2 linked regions of the Pelodiscus sinensis genome follow. The protein of the gene in region 1 purifies or fractionates together with the protein of each later gene. This does not show direct contact. Links are inferred from orthologs where the notes say so. Each region holds a gene or a part of one and is shown on either strand. Other genes may lie near its edges.

Region 1 (9,962 bases):
TAATTGTATTAAAGGAGGCTCATCTTCATTATATATACCCTCCATGGTTGCTATTCAGATTCCTATATTGTGCCTTCTAATATAGAGCACAGTAAGGTGGGGAACTATAGTCTATAGTTCTATTTAAATTCTGACTTTTACATTTTCATTTGCTCTATGAGGCCATTGAGTAATCCAGGGAACAAAATTAAAGCTTTGCCATTATACATATTAATCTCCCTGACCCTGTTTTAGAATGGCTTGTTGTAATGAATGATTTTAAAAACATCTCTATTTTTAGTTAACATAATATGAGTTCACCTACAATTTTACACTTCCACCACTCTCCCCAAGAAGAGAAGCTTATTACAAAACAAAGGCTCTAAGAAGAAATCCATCTTGAAATTTGTGATCTCCATTTGAGAGGAGAGTGTGCACTTTGTGCTGTATCACAAAAGTAACCATCATTTCAAGTTACTGACAAAAAATAAAATGCAGAGAATAATCCAGCAGAGTATTTTTAAACTGTAAACTCTCAAGACTGGCAAATCTGCACATAGCCACTTTATATTTGTGCGCCATGTTTGTGGCTTAGATTCAAATGCAAATTTTTTATCTGTGCAAGGTAGGGATGTTAAAAAGGGGTTTTCAGCATTTACACATTGGGTGGGGTGGGGGGAAGGCAGTTCCGCGGGATAAGGGACGCGCCAGGAGCTGGCTTTTAAGCTGCCTGCCCCTCTCCATTTTCTCCCTTCCCCATACTGCTGCCTCTATATCAGCACAAGGAGGGGAGGCAGAAGCCAGTGCTTGCAGAGAGTTGGCTTCCTGCGAGCACCTGCTCCCATGGAGCTACCTGACCCAGATACAGAGGCAGCATCAGGGGAAGGGACAGAACCTTGCATGTAACTGTGAGGGTTAACTGATGAGCCCAGGCTCATCAGTTAAACATTTAAAGAGATATACTAACACATCCTTAGAGCAAGCCTCTAGGTATTACCTCTTACTTTTCTAAAAATTTCAGAATTCCTAACTTACAATTCTGTAAAAAATTTGTAAAAACAAGATTAAAAGAGTTCTAAAGCCCAATGACAATCTATTCATTATAAAATTTCAAAGAAGGAAATATGCTTTTACTCACTGGTGCTTCTGACATTAGGACCGGGTGCAAACTTGCTTCAGATTTAATGTGCATCTTGTATGTGTGATCCAAAATTGCCTGGAAACTGTCCCAGTCCTCAACTGTAACAATGACGTTTAGACAATATTATTCCATTTTCAAAAAGAGACATAGTTAATTGAGTCATCTAAAAACATAACTTTAAAACACATAGATCAACCATCTCCTGAACAACAGTCTTAAAAATTCACACACTTCAGCAGCTCCATAAAGTTCTATGCTGCTTACCAATTACATTCGTCCCCTTCTTTTTCCCCCACCACCGTTATCAGGTGGGACCCATTCCAGCTCATTACATGGAGGAAAGTCTCTATAGTTCTTCCTCAGATCAGACCTCATAATTAAAACCATTTTAAATACAACATTTCATTTTTGGACCAAGAGTATTAATGAAAATTGAATATATTTTTTTGCCCGTGACAGATAAAACTTTGCAGCTGAATATAAAGTTAGTGATCAGATTTTAAGAACAAGAAGAAAAAGACAGAGCACCATACTCATTCCATTTTTTAAGGGTGAAATAGCCTCCATGTTTTCCCTTGGAACTCGCAGTGCATTGGTGTCTATATAGTAAGTAGGACCTCCTTGTTTTCCTTTGTCACCATCTATTTCCATCAAGGTGCTGCCATCATCCCTTTCCAGTACCACACCAATAGCAGTGGGAAAGTCAACCTGCAATGTAAAATATGGACCAGGTATGGCAACTGCAGAGTGGGCATTTGTTTATTCACTTATAACAAAGTACTGTTTTCATTTCAGCTATACATTTAAAAAAAATGTCTACAAATTCAAAACTTGTTCAGTGGTTCGTAGAATACGTAAAAAAACCATTTAATCACAATGACTCTTACCTTTGGACAATCCTCACCAGCATAGCCAGCTCTCACTGTATAGGAACCAATATCGAAAACAAGAGCCCCAACTTCATCTGTAAGGATTAGAAGTAAATAGGCAGGCAATAAAATCTCTGTGCTTATCAGCAAAAACATACAAGCCAACACACTTTTTGTTAAACGTGAGTGCAAACCACCATCGCAACTTTTAACCAGGATTTAAAGCTGGCAAAGAACAAAATATTTTCAATTGAAAATATTAATTGCAGAAAAATTACCCCAAAAAAGCCATTGTATTTTAAGTAAATAACCAATAAAACAGTACTTTCATTCAAAATTAGGGATGCAAAATCCCTGTTAAGCAGGCAGGGGACTGCACCAGTCCACCAGTTAACCATAACTGGTAAAGTGATTTTCAGAATGTGTTATGATTTACTCACAAAGTTATACTTCCCCCTACACTTCCCTGGATTATTAGAAATTAAACAGGAAAATAATTAGAATTAGATGTGACAGTCTATAACACAGATGTTTAAGAAATACATCCATTCCCTTAAGTACTGATCTGTAAAGAGACTCCATATGGGCTCAACGGGGTCAGGACCCTAGCAAAATTATTAATAATACTAATTATTATTATTATTTTGGTAGCACTGTTTACAGGAGATGCTCTGGTGCAAGATCTTGGCTTCCAAATATATCTTTCGATGGCGTGCTAACCTGAATTTCCCACCAAAGTAACAGCACCAAATGTTGCCTTACACCATTAATCTGCCTTACAGATCTAACAAACGGAAAAGGCCACAATGAAATTTACCAAAGACAGAAACTAAGAAAATACAGGACTATGTAGTTGAAGCAAAATGCAGGACAATGTAGCACTTTAAAGACTAACAAGATGGTTTATTAGATGATGAGCTTTCATGGGCCAGACCCACTTCCTCAGATCAAATAGTGGAAGAAAGTAGTCACAACCATATATACCAAAGGATACAATTAAAAAAATGAACAAATATGAAAAGGACAAATCACATTGCAGAACAGGAGGGGGATGCGGGGGGGGGGGGGGAGGAAGGAAGGTAAGTGTCTGTGAATTGATGATATTAGAGGTAGGGAGAGCGGGATGTTTGTGGACTATGTAGCACTTTAAAGACTAACAAGATGGTTTATTAGATGATGAGCTTTCGTGGTCTAATCATCATCTAATAAACCATCTTGTTAGTCTTTAAAGTGCTACAAAGTCCTGTATTTTGTTTCAGCTACACCAGACTAACACGGCTACATTTCTATCACTATTCTAGAAACTAAGACGACCTTCAAACTAGTTAGACCTTCCACTTTAATGAAAACTTGCAAGGTATACTGAAGGGAAGCACTGTGTGTTTCCGACCGCAGCTGAGTGGAGTTGTTAGCTTTGATGGGAAGAACGATGCTGGTGGTGTTCATGGGTGGAGCATTACAGCTGTATCTTAGCAACGCTGTCACTTTATGGACCAGAAGAGCAGCAAATAACTGGGGAGGGGAAGAAGCGCAGGGAGCGGCAGCAAATCGATTGCAAGGAAGCTCAAGGCTTGGGAACGTGGCCGGATTACGCGGGGCTGCATGGGAAGCTCCTGGGTAGGGGGAAGCGGCATCAGCACACGCACAAATAATGGACAGACTAGAGCACATGCCTGTAGGGGGAGGGGGTGGGAGATGCAGCAGGCCTGTGGGGGCTCGGAGGAGGAGGGGGGGCAGCTAGGGGAAGCCTCGTGTGGAACAGCCCTGGGCGAGGCGGGGGCTGGGGGAGGCCCGTGAGGGGCAGCAGGGGCTCGGAGGTGCTGGGGGGCAGCAGGCAGGCGCTGGGGGGGGGGGGGGCAGAGAGGCCCGTGGGGAACGGTCGTGGGGGGCAGCAGGCAGGGGCTGGGGGGGGTTCACAGGCGGGGGGGGCGGGCACTCACCTCCCCCGTACACCCCGCCGCTCATGGCTGCCGCCGGGCCTGTCTCGCGCCCCGCTCCCGGCAGCCCCCGCTAACTACTTTCGCTGACAATAGCGAGCGCGAGTCTCCGGCCCGCGCTCACTCGCCCCGCCGGCTCAACCGAACTTGCTGCTGCTTTCCCCTCAGACCAACAGAGCGCGCCGGCCGGCCCCCGCAACCCCGAGAGCGGGCGGCCAATCGTGGCCAGCAGGGGGCGGGCCGAGACAGCGGGAAACCTATCCCTGTCAAGAAAAAGAGTGAAGGAAGCAAGTATGGTTGCAGTGTGCAGGGTCAGCGGAGGTTGGGGTTGGGGGACGGGGCAAGGAATTGATTGACATGGGGGTAGGTGGGGCTGAGGGTGTGGAGGCTGGGTCTAGGGAGGGATGTTTGGGGGCCGGGGAAGGGTGTTATGGGGCTGGCTGGGGGTTAGGAAGGAACTTGGGGGGCTGGTTAGGGTGCTATGGGGTTGGCTGCTGTTGGGGGTTAGGGAGAGACTTGGGGGGAGGCTGGGGCTTGTGGGCCAGCAAGGGATGCTTTGAGACTGTAGTTAGGGAGACAAAAAACAGGCCTATGCAGCACTTTAAAGACTAACAAGATGGTTTATTAGGTGATGAGCTTTCATGGGCCAGACCCACTTCCTCAGATCAAATAGTGGAAGAAAATTGTCACAACCATATATACCAAAGGATACAATTAAAAAAATGAACACATATGAAAAGGACAAATTAAACAATCTTGTTAGTCTTTAAAGTGCTACATAGTCCTGTTTTTTGTTTCAGCTACACTAGACTAACACGGCTACATTTCTATCACTAGTTAGGGAGAGGCATTTTAGGGTGGGAAGTTAGGTGGGGTATTTTGGGGCAGGATGGTGCAGGGAGCCTAGAAAAAGGTATTTTGGGATTGCCTTAAGTAAGGGGTTGAGAACTGGCCAAACCTGATCTTCATCAGGGTAACAAAAGGCCCGAGGGGAAAAATGCAAAAAAGAAAGTGTTTTTGCAGTGTTGGGATGCTCTTGGGATACCCTGAACAGTAAGCTGCTGAGTTACCTCTCTGCCTCAGCAAAAGAACGTCACTGGAGTTCAAAGGACATGAGTTAGGTCTTTGCCACACCAGGTGTCACCAGTAACACTGCTTACCTTTCCTTTATCTTGCAGGTAACCTTGAAAACCAGTTCTCAAGTTCCCCCAAGCTGTTTTTCTGTAGTGTCCATTCTCTATTCACAGAAATTACTAAATTTGCTTTCTCCAAAGAGACAGAATGCATACCAGCCTGTTAATGCAGCTGAAGATATATGCCTGTAACAGCACAGAGATGTAAGTGATAGTAACTATGAAAAAGAGAGATTAAGAAGAGATGTAAGTGATAGTAACTAGGAAAAGAGAGACTAGTATGTTACAGATACAAACAAAACAAAATAATGTGCTAGTGATTAAAGTCTAACTTTAGCAAGTTACAAACTTTGCCTAAGCAGCTCACTTGAATCAAACTTCTGAGTACCTTTCCTAGGCCTGGAAATTAGTTCTGTGTAGACTTGAAAAAAGTCTTTCATCATCTCCAGCTGGCTTAATAAAACCCACCTTGTCACTCTAATAAAACATGCATGACATTTTACAGAGTTCAGTGCTTGCTACTCTACCATCAATATCCCTTTCTCAAGTACCCCTCCCAATCCAGTTTACCTCCCTTCCTGAGTCTTCTTTCTTCTGTTGCTCCCTGTTCTCCTTTTCCAATGGAATAAAATCTGTATAAGCCCCTGTCAATTTTGTACCTTCCCACCACCCCCTATATCCTCCCAACCCAGTGATGGTCCCTTGGCATCTCAAACTTCCTGCCTCAAAATCTGGATATTGGGCTGAGCTCATCTGATTCCCTCCTTTCCCCTGCTTGTTACTAAACTGCCATCCTCACTGGATTGTTCTGGCAGAGAAAGAAGGGGTGGGAGATGTTAGTATCTGCCCTGGCATTTGGCCAGTAAAGCCATAGAACACAGCACAGAGAGCTAGAAAACAAAGTTAGGAAGGACTAAGTAGTGAGCAGGGAAGTGGAATGGGGTGGAGGAGGGAAAACAGGAAATTGATGAAAAGGAAAAGGGACTTGGAGAGTTCAGGAGCCAGAGAACTAGATAGGTAGATCTGCCTAAAATTCCAAGTGTCCAATCCCATGATTTGCATAATATTGACCATTGAGAAATCTTAAACTGGTTGATTAGGGCCTTTGTAGAATAATTAATGCCATTTTTCAAAGTTACATAGAGCACATAGCTAATTTTTGCATCCTAATACAAAGATCAGATACTGGCTAACCACAGATCATATGTAAAATACATAAGGCTGAATACTCTTTTCACATACGTGTGCACTGTTCTTATTGATTTTGGTGGAAGTTCTGATTTTGGTGGAAAAGTATGTGAGGGTGATATGTCTCATATTTAAATCTCTCCTTTAAAATCACTTCCTTGGCTATCCTTCATTGAGTGATATTTAATTCATTCATACATTTAGAAACAATAGTATGAAAGTAAGAGATCCAAGAAAACTGTAAGCTTCATTTTGTAGAGGAAACTGAGCCTCAAAGGATGCTGTTAGCTCTTCTTTTGCTAACCCCACCTTTTCAAAGTACACTGCCATTTGATTATATTTTCTGCCTGATTCTAGATTGTAAGTGCCTTGAGGCAAGGATCTTGGACCTTGTTCAGATCTCATTTATACTAGGGTAAATTCAGAGTAACTTCACTTTGTTTGTAGAGTTATTTAAAAATTACACCAGTGTAACTGAGAGCAGGACTTAGTCCATTCTCTTTATATTTCCCTGTAAAGTGCTTTTTTATATTTCTTGCACTGTATAAATAAAACATAGTTTATTTATGTAGAAATATAACTTTTTAAATGTTTTAATATGCGTCTCTTGACCTTTTGCCCTGAGGAAAACATTAGAGCTGTGGTGGGCAATATGTGGCCTGTGGGCTGTACCTGGCACATCAGAATACTCCACTAGGGGCTGCGAGACATGTTGCTGATGTAGCCCCTCCTGTCCGCTATCCCAGTATGAGGTTATTCAACATAGGGGAAGCTGTGTGACTTTTTACACAACTCTGGGAGACTAGGCCTGAGGCTCCTTTGTGCATTCTCCATCACGTGTCAGTGTGTGTGCTCTTCAGACCAGACCCACTCAGACAAACCACCAGGAACAGGCTTAATTCTGTAAAGTACGAAGAACAGGATTACAGTACAGCAGCCTCTTCTCTGCTTGCAGCTTACGTGTTGCCAGCTCAGTCAGTGCTGAGGCCCTGCTGGGAGGCAGAGGGTACATCATGGCAGGAACCAGGAAGTTCTCCAACATGTCATAGTTTATAGTCTACAGCTTTTAGTTCCAAGGGCTGCTCCTGAAGCACACTGGACCTTGGGCTACACCAGTGTTGACTATCTGCATGCACAGGCTCCCCAACCCCGTGTGGCCATGGTTTGCTGTTCCTGGCCAATGGGAGCTGCGGGATGCAGGGACATGCTGGCCACTGCTTCTTGCAGGTACCATTGGCCAGGAATGACAAACTGTGGCCATTGGGAGCTTCGAGGGACTGTGCCTGCAAAGGGTCAAATCAACAAAATGTCTCGTGTGCTGCCAGTGAATAATGCTGATTGACCATGTGTAGATCACAGGCCGCAGGTTGCCCACTACTGCATTAGAGGGTACATGTGCACAAACATAGAAGATCTATAGCACAGCTGTGGCTGGCCCAGGTCAGCTGTCTTGTGCTTGTGGGGCTCAGGTTATGAGATGAAAAATTGTTGCATGAATGTTCGAGCTGGAGCCTAATCCCTGGGAATCTGAGCCCCAACATCTACATAGTGATTTTGACCCCTACAGCCAAGGTCAGTTGACCTAGGCCAGCCACTGATGTTTTTTCCTGTACAGACTTACCCAGAGTGGCATGAAACTTAATTATCATAAACTACTTAGTACTAACGCTGTCCATCAAAATACATAAGTTATGCATTTTTTTCAAGTGGACACCTGTAAAAACTTTCCCTTAAATCCTTTAATACAATAAAAATTCCAGATAAAGGATCTGTGGCCCCGGAACTATATTTGGGATGGGGGTGCTGAGCTGCCCCTTCCCTTGCCCCTTTTGGCCTGTTGAGATTGGGTTGCCAACTAATGATGTGAATGGCAGGGAGTTGCTCTAGCTTTGCGAGGCCTGCCTTGGGCAAGAGGTGCTGAAGCATCCCCAGTCCCAGCTGGACTGAAGTGCCTTCCCACCCATTCACCCGTTTAATTGGTTAAGCGGTTAACTACTTACATAGGATTTTACATCCCTATTGCCAATTCTTCTGGACCAGATGGACTGGATTCCATTGCTGCAAATGGCATCTGGTCCATCAAGTCTGGGAAAGTTGACAATCCTCACCGTTGGAGCCACAGTTGGGAGCAGTTGCAGAGTCCTGGGCCAGTGGTGGGACCCTGTGGCTGGCGGGGCCAGCGGTCTGTGGAGACTGTGGCAGGGCCAGCAGGCAGTGGAATCCCGAGGGCTGGAGGAGCTCATGAGGCCAGTGGGTGACGGGACCCTGAGAGCCGGTGGGACCCTGGGGGGTTGGAAAAGCCTGTGGTAACAGAATCCCAAGGGACTGGCAAAGTTCATGGGGCCAGCAGGACCCCATGGGGGCTTCCCAAAGGCTGGGACCGAGAGCTGGAGGAGCTGGCAGCAGGGCTGGCCTCTAAGTGCAGGGAAGACAAATGCAAAACCCGAGGGGTGCTGTAGCATTCCCTGCACCTATGTGAAAGATGTTCTAATTCAACAAAATGTTGTTTGTAATCAGTGAAGCAAGAAAAGGAACAAAGAGAATCTAACTGTAATGTGCCAGATTCTTCTTTCACTAGAATTACTCCCAATTTATACTAGTGTAAGTCTGAAAATATGTAAGCTGTATGTTTGTGGTTTTGGACTACAATTCCCAGCCTGCTGCACACTAAGGGTGGGCTGGTGATTGATAGCTTCAATTTAAGTCTCCTCCTACACCAACGACACTGAATTGCAGAGGAAATATTAAAACCGAGCAATAGGAGACAACTCGGACGAAAAACAACAACCCCAGTGTTGCAAGGGAACCAGGAGATGGTTGGATGTGCTAGCGCTTAAGGGTAAGTTATTCCTTTGATTTCATTTAACATGTATTCTCGTTCTCTTTCTCTGTTTCTTTAGTAGGGAAAATTCTTTCAGAATTTCAGCTTATCCTGCTGTCATTGAGAAGAAATACATAGTTATATGTACCACTGTTTAGATTAACAAAAGTGTGTAAACTAGCAAATCGTACAAGATACTGAAATGAGGAAGATCAGTGTAAATCCTGTTTTGTATTAAATGCAGGATGAAAAATCAGGTTACCTGGCACCCTTTGTAGGTCTTACGAAACCTTTTGTTGATGGTGTATTATCACAATTTCCAGCATGTGGCACTAGTACACAAGAGAGGGTTGTTGGAGGAGGAAGAGATTATTGCAAGAAAGAGACTAATTCAGAAAATGTGAAATTGTAATGGCAAAGGATTTATCCTTAGATGTTTTATCTTTCAAGGTTATTACTGAAATAATGCTTTGTGGAAAGTATACCGTTCTTTGAGCAGATCCTGGACTGCACAGCAGCTGCTTGCGCTGCTAGTGCTGAGCAACTATAAAGCCAGTTTAGCGATTCCCAGATTATTGCTCCATCATAAGGGAATCCTTGGATGGTGAAGAGCCACCAAAATGGCTCCTATGTCATTCTGTCTCATACCAGCAAGCCAGAGAGGTGTGGCAGGAGGAAAAGGCATGTGTCTTTGCGGGGAGGGGGGGGAATGTCCAGCTGGTCCCTGGCTGCAGAAATGGCCACTGATAATACATATTAAACACTGCTTTTATTTGCCTGGGAGTTGAGGCTAGTCTTTGGCAGCCCTAGGATTGGGGGAACACAGATAAAAAGCCTGCAATTTTGGATCTGAATTGAGTGCTCTGCAGCCAGTTTGGATAATCCAGTTCTGTA
Region 2 (10,091 bases), on another chromosome or scaffold:
TGTTTCCAAGTTATGGAACAAAAGACTTATTTAAATAAGAGTTTGTCCTTTTCCTTGAGGAAACCAAGGACCTGACACCTCTATTGTCTAAAGAAAACTGACTATAATGACGTCAACTACTTCCCGTCCCCAAAGAAAAGCATGCAGCTGAATGAGGGCATTGAGGGGGAAGTAGTTGTTTCACTTTTGATCAGGATTTCAGCTGCTATAAAATCCTTATTCTGCAGTTGTTTACAAAGCGGAAGTCTAATTTATCTAACAGAAGGCAGTACTGTACAAGAGGAAACATCTTCCCTCAGTTCTTATAACAAAGATTGCACCCTGTATACCAAAATAATTAAGCTTTACCAATACCTTACAGCAGGGGTTCTCTCAAACTTTGTGATACCGTGACCCCCCCTGGGGGGTCGGGACCCACAGTTTGAGAAACACAGCCTTACAGGGGATACAGTCCACTGCTTGAGAAACCAATAATCCCTTCTTTTTGCAAGAAGGGCATTTCTAGCTTTCCTTACTCTATGCCTACAAAATAAGCTGGTTTAATACTGCACCAAATATTTAGTGATACATTTACTAAGTCACTTTTCCAATTAATAATTTATTCCCTTATTCAGTAAAGTGGTAGGATAAAACAGATTTACAGTGAACTCCACAAATAACCAGCAGGATTTCGTGCTCAAAATGGGTCAGAAAAAGAGATACATTGACAAGACAGCAAATCCAAGATAAAATAGTTTGCTGTGCAAAATTATGTCAAGAGAACATCTGTATGAAAGCAGCTTACCAAAACCGGTTTGATATTTCTAGGCAATATTTTTTGCACAGTGGAAATACCAACTTATTTTAAAAGGTTTTCTGTTTAATTTAAAGCCAGTTACTCAGCATGCAAAACACCTACTTAAAATGACTACACTATTTCACGACTATTTTGCATTGCTTGTTAACACCACTAGAAAACATGCCTTGTTTATTTGCTCTGAAAAATGAGCTGCCTAAGTTTAAGGAGAGTTAGACTCTTTACATAAATACAACAAGAATATTCTGTGGCACTATTTCTGCAGGACTCCTCACTACTGAGAAATCAAAGACTGACAAAAACCTTCTCCCCATCACCTACACTCATACTCAAAGAAAACACATTAGAAAAGTTTACAGGAGTCTTCCCCACGCCAACTTAAATCAAAACAATTCTGAATTGTATGTCTATAGTACATACCCACAAGGTGCACTACAGGGGACCCCTGCATTCAGTTTTCCTAAAGTCAGACATTTTTGACTGGAGCACACTAGGGTCTAAACAGCTCTGAAAAGATAACCAGACATGCTTTGTCAATATTCTTGAATACCTAACTATGCCAAGTGTTTTTGTTGCTTAGCAATGCTGCTCCTAGCTCCTAAGCTAGAGCTATCCCCGAGCCTGCAAGTTCTTCTGCCCACATGGCACAATCTTGGCTTCCATGGGGCTCCAGATTAGGAATGAAAAAATCCCATTTAATTAGTTAACTGGTTAAATTTAGCATTTAACCAGTTAACTGATTAAACGGGGGCAGGCTGGAGTGACCCCCCACACCATGTGCAGGGGCTACTCCAGCCCAGCTGCTTCTGGTCCCACTCTGGGCTGCTGGCTCCCAGGCTGCAGGGGCTAGGAGTGGGGAGCCTTGTCTGGGGCTGGAAGCAGCAGTCAGGAGGAGGTGGAGAGGGCTGCTGGCTCCCAGGCCACGCAAGCTAGGAGTTGGCAGCCTTGTGCTGGGCCGAAAGCAGCTGCTCCCCCCCAGCTGCCCCTCCCAACCCCATGAGAGGCTGACGACTCCCAGAGCTGGCAGCCCCATGGGGCTGGAGCAGCCCTCCATCCATGGCTGGCCACTCCTGGGTAACGGTTAACCAGTTATCTGGCATAGGGATGTGAATGGGTAAGCAAAAAACAACAACAAAACACAAGTTGCAAGGATTGGGGCTTCAATGCTTAATGCTGCAGTAGTTTTACATGTGTAAGGTGAATTCTAATGTATTATTCATTAAGGACCTGGTCTGACTCCCAGGGAAATCTTTCCATTGACTTCTGAAGGGTTTCAATCAAATGCCATCTGCTGGATCCAGATCCAGAATGGACAAGATACAAGGCAAAAGACAACTTTGCAAGTTAAATCTGTTTTTTTTTTAAATAAGCAAATACATACTGCTAAATCCAGGGGAAATTTTTAAAGACCACTTGCTGTCAGCTTCTCTAAAGCTAAAATAAAAAACCAACTGGCATATTACACACTACACCAGAAAGTCACATCAGCACAAACAATACCACTTCCCATATCTACGAGTACAATTCAACATGTACATTCAAAACACCCATTAGTCTTTCAAATTACATATTTAAATATTACCCTTACAGTTGTCATTTGTCTATTCTAAAAAACACCACCTATTTTAAAAGCAGATTTTATTGAGTAAGTTGCATCTTTCATGAAAAGTGTATGTCATGTTTCAGCTTGATGAGAATTAAGGCCTGGTCTGCATTACCATTATCTCAATGCACGGCAGCTTATGGCAGCCTATGCACATGTTTACACTAAAATTTTGCCCTAATCTAGACAACATAAGGTAACACAGCAGGGCATTTCACTCTGCATTGGCCTAACTATGCTTCTCATGGATGTAGCATCAGCAGTGCATTGCTTATAGTGACTATTACTGGCTTCCAGAAGTCATCCCACAATGCCCCACACTGATAGTACAATGAGTACGAGTGCTCCTGGTGAGCGCACACACGACTGACAGAAGAAACCAGACACACACAAGTGATGTAATTACTGCAACTGCTGGATGCCGACGTAAATAAGGTCAACTTAATTCTGTAGTCGAGTCATGCCCTAAAATATTATGTCTAAAAAAGGGGGGGTTGTTATGAACAGAGATCACCATAGTTATAACAGTGTTGCACATCACCACAATAATCAGCATACTGTAGTTTACAATATCCTTAAGCCATATTTAATAAAGACTATGTCACAAGACAAGATACAAGATCTCCAACTGGGCGAGCTTATAAAAATAATTTAAGTAATGAAGTAAACATACTTCTCAACCTCAAGAAAGGAAAATCTTGACAGTCCAACTTGATAAAAAAAATCTTTCAATGGCTTCAATGCCCACTGATATCTATCAGAATGCTTTGACACACACCGATGAAAAAGACAAAAGTCAAGCACACTCTAAACAAAGGAACAAGTCCTGAGTCTCCTGGGTGAGCTGAGAGCATTGAGAAGTATGGAAAAAAAACAAGAGAATTATCTAAGAGAAACCACTGCCATTTCCTAATTCTCTGCACGCAAGGGAGCTGGAACATCCTAAAAGCCCTCTGCCCCTCAGGTACCACACAAGGGAGTCCAAATTTGCTTAACTGAGGGCCTCATTGAAAGACTGCCAAGAAGCTGCAAGCCCTCTGTAAAATGGAGTACCTATACTGCAGCTACCAATCGAGTAGCTGGAGGAGATGGCTTCCAGCAGGGAACCATGCACCTAGATCTAAACTGAAAGGCCATTCTGTTTCACCACAACCTGCCAGGATACATCATCTCCATGGGTCATAACTGACCTCGTAGGCCGTGTTTCAACCCTGCAGCCCACAAACCACTCTCTCAGACACACAGTGCACACAAGCTGTGTGAAGCACAGATAGTGACAGTGGTTTCACCTACAAGCAACTGGGTGAGGAGGTTGTGTTTTGCCTTTTTTCAAAGAACCATCTCTTCCTTTTAGCCCTCCGCTCCCCCACTGCAGAGATAGGGGGGAGGGACTGAAGCTGGAAGATTAAAAAGGGCCTTTTTTCTGGTCCACACCCCAGAGCTTTGTAACTACTGGAGCATGGATTGGCCACAGAATCAGCTTCCCAGTCCCCACTACCCCAACACCCTGTCACCCCCAGCCCAGCCAGCATCCCCTGCACCTCTCCAGCCTCCCACAGGGCTCCCAGCCCCATTCCCAGCCAGCCTCCCATGGCACCCCCAGCCCCACCAGTACCCCCCACCCCAACAGTCCCCAGCTCCCATCCCCCACCAAAAGAAACTCCTCACCCACGCTCCAACAATGCTCCGCAGCCCCCCCAACAACCCCCCACACCCACCCATCCCCCATCCCAACAATAGCCCCCAGCTCCCCTCCCCCACCAACAGCCAGCCACCCCCCTACCCTCCCCCTACCCATCCTCCCCCACCCTCCCACAGCCCCCCGCACGCCTTCCCCAGCCCCCCAATAGCCCCCCCAACAGCCCGCGCTCCAACAGTAGCCCCCCCTCACATCCCCCCCAACAGCCAGCCTCCTCCCCCATCCATCCATCTCCCATCTATCCTCCCCCCCAGCCCCCCCACTCTCCCCCCCAATAGCCCGCGCTCCAACAACAGCCCCCCCCTCCTCCCCCCGCTCCAGGCCGCCCCGCCGGCCGCACTCACCCTCCTGGAATTTGGGCTTGGGGTCCTGCTTGGGCGCCATTTATAAGAGCCTCGCCCGCCTCCCCACCCCTCCCCTGCCGGCGGGGCCGCGCCAGCGCCACCGCATTATAGCGCCCAGCCCCGCGCCTCTGCGCATGCTCCCGCCGCCGCGGGCATGCCGGGACTTGTAGTCCTGGGCGGGGCCGGCCCCAGGCTTCCCTGCAGCGCCACGTGCGCTCTGCCCGGCCGGGGCGTCCCGTGGCCAGCTGTGCCCAGCGCCCGGCCCTGGCTCGGAGCAGAGGGCTGCGCGCTGCCCTTCCCTGCACAAGGCACAGGCCTGTGTCGGGCCCTCCCCCGCGCCCTGTAGCCTTTGCAGCCTGAGCCCCTTCCGTGTGCTTCTCCCATCACTCCTCCTCCCCGGCCAGCGGCCCTTCGTTTGCATCCCCCTGCCCGAGCCTGGGGAGTCCGCGTTGCTCTTAGACGCCTAGCAAGCCAGCCCAGGACCCCACGCGATCCTGGGGGAGTCTAGGGAGCTGCATGGAAAAACGTTCTCCTGGGAGTATAGGGGAAAAAGGTTGCGCCCAACGTGGGGCTCGAACCCACGACCCTGGGATTAAGAGTCCCATGCTCTACCGACTGAGCTAGCCGGGCTCTTGGAAGCTTGAGTTGTTTGGTACTACAGTTGACAGTATGCCTCTCTCATGCAGCTTTTCTCAATGTGAGGCTTTAGGCAAAGGATTTAACAGGGCTTAAAGGGATTTCTGGATTACTGCTACCAGTGTCTGTCTCCTGCATTTTGCAAGGGATCCCCTGCAAACGCCCCCTTGTGGCCAGCTGCAACCTGGATCTCAGCATGCCACGGGGCATAGAATGGGCACTGGGAAGGGATGGGTGGCCAAGGTGTGGGACGTTCATGCAGCTTCCACAAAGGCACTTTGGGAGAGGAGCCCCGTTAATCTCCCTGTTGTTTCAGCGGATTGTGTCCACACCATGCCCAGCCATCAATAGGCCTCCTAAGAACAAGCAATTCACTTAAACCGCTGCCGCACTTGTGCCAAAATGTGGAGACAAAGCTGTTTTGTCACATGGGTTGTGCCCACGAAAGCTCATGATGCTATATTGTGTTTCCTAGTCTCTAAGGTGCCATAGGGCTGCTCGTTGTTTTTAAAGCGACAGACTACCACGGAAACCTCTCTGAGGCATTTTGTTCCATGTTTTACTGTTGAAGCTGCCCTGCTGCCTGTGTTTAAAACCAACCGGCAAGCGATGGCTTTCCTCTTCTCTCTTCTTCAAAACACAAGGAAGCAGCTTTCTTTTAAAAAATTAATCCGCCTGCAAACTCTCCTTCTGGACAGCAGGGTGCATGAAACTAGGACCCACCTGTGAACAATTCGATTCCAATTCACCTTCTGTCTGTGCAGACCGACCTATAGCACCATCCCAGCAGGGCCAGGTTTCAGGCTGCTGAAGAGTTCCCAGTTTCAGGCACAAACCCCTACTAGTGCCTCAGAGTCCAATGGCTTTAATTCCCAGTCAAGCCTGAAAAATTGAAAACTTTATGTTCACCCGGTGGAGCCCCTTTGCTCTTACAATATATCTGTGCTTCTCAGTGGCTAACCAGAAGGGCCCGCTGGGGTGGCCCCACCTTCTGGTGGGTGGGTAATGATTGGGGTGGTAAAACCCCCGCATGCTGGCTGGGGTGCTAGCAGAGTGAGGTCAGACCAGCACCCTAGTCCAGGCGCAGGTGTGTCAGCCCCTATGCCCGAGCAGGGTGGACCTGGATGAAAAATAAGTGTGTCATGGCCCACCCACGTCAGGCCCACCCCCGCTAGACTTCTGCTTTTGTTATTATTTTCACGTTCATTGGATTAAGAATATTCAGATTTTGAACATGGGGTGAGCTATGATCAGAGTGTTCATATATTAACCAACACAAATGTGAGATCAGTTAGATAATAAGTTGTAGGGACCTGGGGACTGCTGGTTTGGCCATTCACAAGCACAGGTGCAAAATTCTGTGACTGTAAAGTCCATACCCATGGATGAGTGTGGTTGTGTGCAGCCTCCCCTCATCTAATCTCTATTTTTTAAAGGTTACAAGACTTGAAATCCTGGGGAGACTTTAATTGATGTTGATGGTCTCTAAGCCTCGCCTACACAGGTGTATGTGCTTCATCTTTTCAATATTTTCAATAAATATTAAAAAATGAAGCCCGCCAGTTAAACCTGGCACCGAGCTGTGTTTGACACAAGTAAATGTAAATCCCTTAAGATATTAAATATCCAGGGGTTGATGGCTGTGTGGGCAGATTTAGCAGTGTGCTGGGTGCACCCTGTGTTCGGTACCTTACAGTTTTACTAGATAATATCTCACTGCTCCTGCTGCTGCCCATAGACTCCAGTGATGTCAAAATATACCATGACTGATTAAACCAGTGTTGGGGAAATCTCACTCCCCTGGGGTACAGAACCCCCAGAAGGGTCCGAGGCTGGAGGTCAAAGCAGTGAGGCAGGAGAGAAATCTAGAAGGAAAACTTTATTATGCATGCATGCAGGCTGACAGCTACCAGAGTGAGAGCAGCAGCAGCCCTGAGAGACAGGTTCAGGGATCCTTTATACAGTATGCTCAGACAGTTTAGTTGTTGATTGTTTTCTTTAACATATCAAAGTCTCAGCAGAAGTGAGGTTTCTGTTCACACCAGAAGTGCTAGAAGTAAGTTTTACAGTACAAAGGCACATGAGAACCTGAGTGAGGAGTCTACAAGGCAAACTGTGACAAAGATAAGAGTTTACATGGCAATTTGTGACAGACTAGGAGTCTCCATGAACTTGAGGTAGGAGGAATTGTAAGGGTCTTGATTAGAGTTAAGATGATTTCTCTCTGTTACAGGGAGAGAGGCCTGGAAAACTTTTAACCCTTACAGCAGTTTTCTTTTAGAGAGTTTTGATTTCCTGCACAGTCCCCCCTTAGACACAATTGGAGTTATTTGATTTTTCTCCCACACCAGCAAAAAAAAAAAAAAAAAGTTCCAGCTGTGAATTAAAGACACCAGCTCTGCAGGAAATAGACACTTTTCTCTCTCTGCACTGAGGAACGCTGGTCTTCAGGCTGAGGCACCCTGAAGCTCCCCTCTCCCATCACCACTAAGGAACTGGAAGCAGAGAGCCTAAGGGCAGGTTAAGGAGGGCTTCAGGGACTACAAGTCCAAAATGCTATGAAAACATATGGAGTTTCCCCTTCTCTATCCCACCCCCTTACCTAGCATACCTGCTGGCCGGAGCTGAGCATTCTACCCCTTAACTTTTCATGCTGGGGGCCTAAACTACCCCAGTGTGCATCGTGCCGTGATTTTAGTGCTCATCTTCCTGATTGCACACGCTGATTATTGGGGGCTGATTTCTAGAATCCAACAATAATGGATTATGGCTGGAAAGCAGGAGTTCCCTTAATCATAGTGAGGAAATGTTGTGTGTCTTGCTGTACTCCCCCCCCCACACACACACACACTGCCAGCTACCATGCTTCACACCAGAGGTGACTGCTTTTCAGTAATGGATCCCTGTTAACCTGCAGCTTGTACTAGAAATGTAAATTCCCATAGAATAGATAACAGGTTAAACTTAAAACAGGGATGGCCAACCTAACCCTGAGAAGGAGCCAGAATGTACCACTGCACATGGACAAACAGCCACAGTTCTGTGTCACCAGCCCAGGGCCAGCCAGAGCCCTTTTGGCACCCCGGGCCCGGGCGCACAGTGCTGCCCCCGGGTGCACGGCGCATGTGCGGGCCCACCTGTGGGGCCCTCCCAGGGAGCACGGGCCTGCCCCTGGGGTGCACAGCGCATGCATGGGCTGGCCACAGCCACTGGTGCGCAGCCCGGGGCCCACCCCCGGGGCACATGGCGCATGCGCTGCCCAGCCCAGCCTGGCTAGTGTTGCTGGCGCATGCGCCGGGCAGTGCAGGGCCCCACGGTCGTGGGGGGAAGGGAGCTGCTGGCTGGCGCCGTGGTGCCGGCACTGTGGGAGCCAGGCGCATGGCGCCTGATGGCAGCTGTAAGGGACACCGCGCGCCCCTTACAGCTACCATCAGGCGCCCCTCATCAGTTGGCACCCCGGGCAGCTGCCCAGCTAGCCCATGCCTCAGTCCGGCCCTGCACCAGCCCTGCTCATCTCCCCACCACCACTCTCAGCACATCCCCCCATGGGCAGCCCCACCGGTCAGTGCCGCCTCCTCCTTTTCCTCCTGCCCACTGCGATAAGCTCTCTCAGTGGGAGACACTGGGAAGGGGAAGCATGGGTGTGACTGGCTCAGTGGAGAGGGTAAGAAGTGGCAGGATCCTAGGCGAAAGGGTTGGAGGGGGACAGCGCCTAGGGCAAAGCTGGGGGTGGAACAGAGAGCACCCTACAGCCCAGTGGAAAGTTGGCAGCTGTAGCTCCATCCCTGGATTTGGTACCTAAGGAGCCACCTATTCACTGCTGAAGAGCCACGTGTGGCTCTGGAACCACAGGCTGGCCACCCCTGTATTAAAAAGATGCTGTTTAACCAGTTAACCATTGGAGAGCTGGTGCAGAGCAGCTGAGTCTAGGGTCCAGCCCAGCCTGCCATCCCATTGCCTATGTGTGGGAGGGGCCTGCCCGCCAGGCACACTGGGGGATGCTCCAGCCAGGCCCACCATGGCCAGAGGGCTGCTCCAAGCTGGTCCCAGTGGCCAGATGGGCAGCCATGGGTGGGAGCTGCTCCATGCTGACTCCCATGGGGTCTGGGGCCCAGTGTCTTGGCCACCACAGGAGGGGGTTGCTTTGGGCAGGGTCTCTGTGGGCGTGTCACAGCTGCCTGTATCAGGGTTTGAACAGGGATGGTTAACCAACCGGTTCCCTGGTGGTCATTCAGGTAAGCCTGGTGATCTGCTCATCCCCAGCTTGTTCATCGACTTGTAAAGTGCTTTTGGAGGGTTCCCAATAAAAGGTGCTTTACAGCTATGTTGGTGGTAATACAGCTAAAGGGCTGTAGGAGGATGGTTCTTATTTGTATTTTAGGCCTAAGAGATCTAAGAATTTGTATTTGAAATCATTCAGATATTTCCAGGAGAGCCAGCGTGCTCTGAATAGCTGATGGCCAGTGCTTTTGTTTACTGCCACCTGCATTGGTCAGATTGTGGGATATCTGTTCCCTACCCCACCTAATCCCATACCTAGAGCCCCGCAAATCTGTGGCTATCCACTTCATAGCTGCAAGTATTCACATCCCTGGATGTGGCTGCAGATATCCATCGCTCATTTTTGCAGATACAGATACAGACATGTAAAACAATTTTGTATCTAGAAGCCTGCACATTTGTGGAGATCTGCTATAGACTCGTGGGTATCCATATCCTGATCTGCAAACGTGGATGCAGATACCAATTTTGTATTCATGCAGGGCTCTTCCCCTGCCTTTTTACCATGCAGCCCACCTCCAGGCATTTGGAGAAATCCAGGCCCTGCAAAGATCTAAGACAAGGTAGAAGTGGTACCTAGCCCTTGTCCTGGCCATCTGCAGAGGACTGAATCTTGTCTTATTTTAGTCTATGATTGGCAACCCCCAATGACGGGCAGCAGGGTTCAGCAACCCCCGGATGCTCTTTCAGTGTACATCCTATGTTCCTAAAGTTCATCCTTCAGAGTTTCAG

Evidence for each region. The genes of interacting proteins can lie anywhere in the genome.
Region 2: the proteins of ACTL6A (region 1) and MORF4L1 purify together in Homo sapiens (affinity purification with mass spectrometry; 6 studies listed by BioGRID and IntAct, with this or other methods). This does not show direct contact. The link is inferred for Pelodiscus sinensis from reciprocal best matches to the Homo sapiens genes ACTL6A and MORF4L1.

What each region holds. Positions count from the first base shown.
Region 1 is NC_134720.1:44,785,323-44,795,284, reverse strand, and holds the start of ACTL6A (actin-like protein 6A), read right to left. Parts: upstream 4,089-9,962; 5' UTR 3,955-4,088; coding exon 3,930-3,954; intron 3,607-3,929; exon of another isoform or gene 3,511-3,606; intron 2,085-3,510; coding exon 2,008-2,084; intron 1,829-2,007; coding exon 1,654-1,828; intron 1,219-1,653; coding exon 1,118-1,218; intron 1-1,117.
Region 2 is NC_134724.1:1,222,333-1,232,423, reverse strand, and holds the start of MORF4L1 (mortality factor 4-like protein 1), read right to left. Parts: upstream 4,578-10,091; 5' UTR 4,483-4,577; coding exon 4,443-4,482; intron 1,263-4,442; exon of another isoform or gene 1,248-1,262; coding exon of another isoform or gene 1,217-1,247; intron 1-1,216. UniProt on the Homo sapiens protein: Component of the NuA4 histone acetyltransferase (HAT) complex which is involved in transcriptional activation of select genes principally by acetylation of nucleosomal histones H4 and H2A.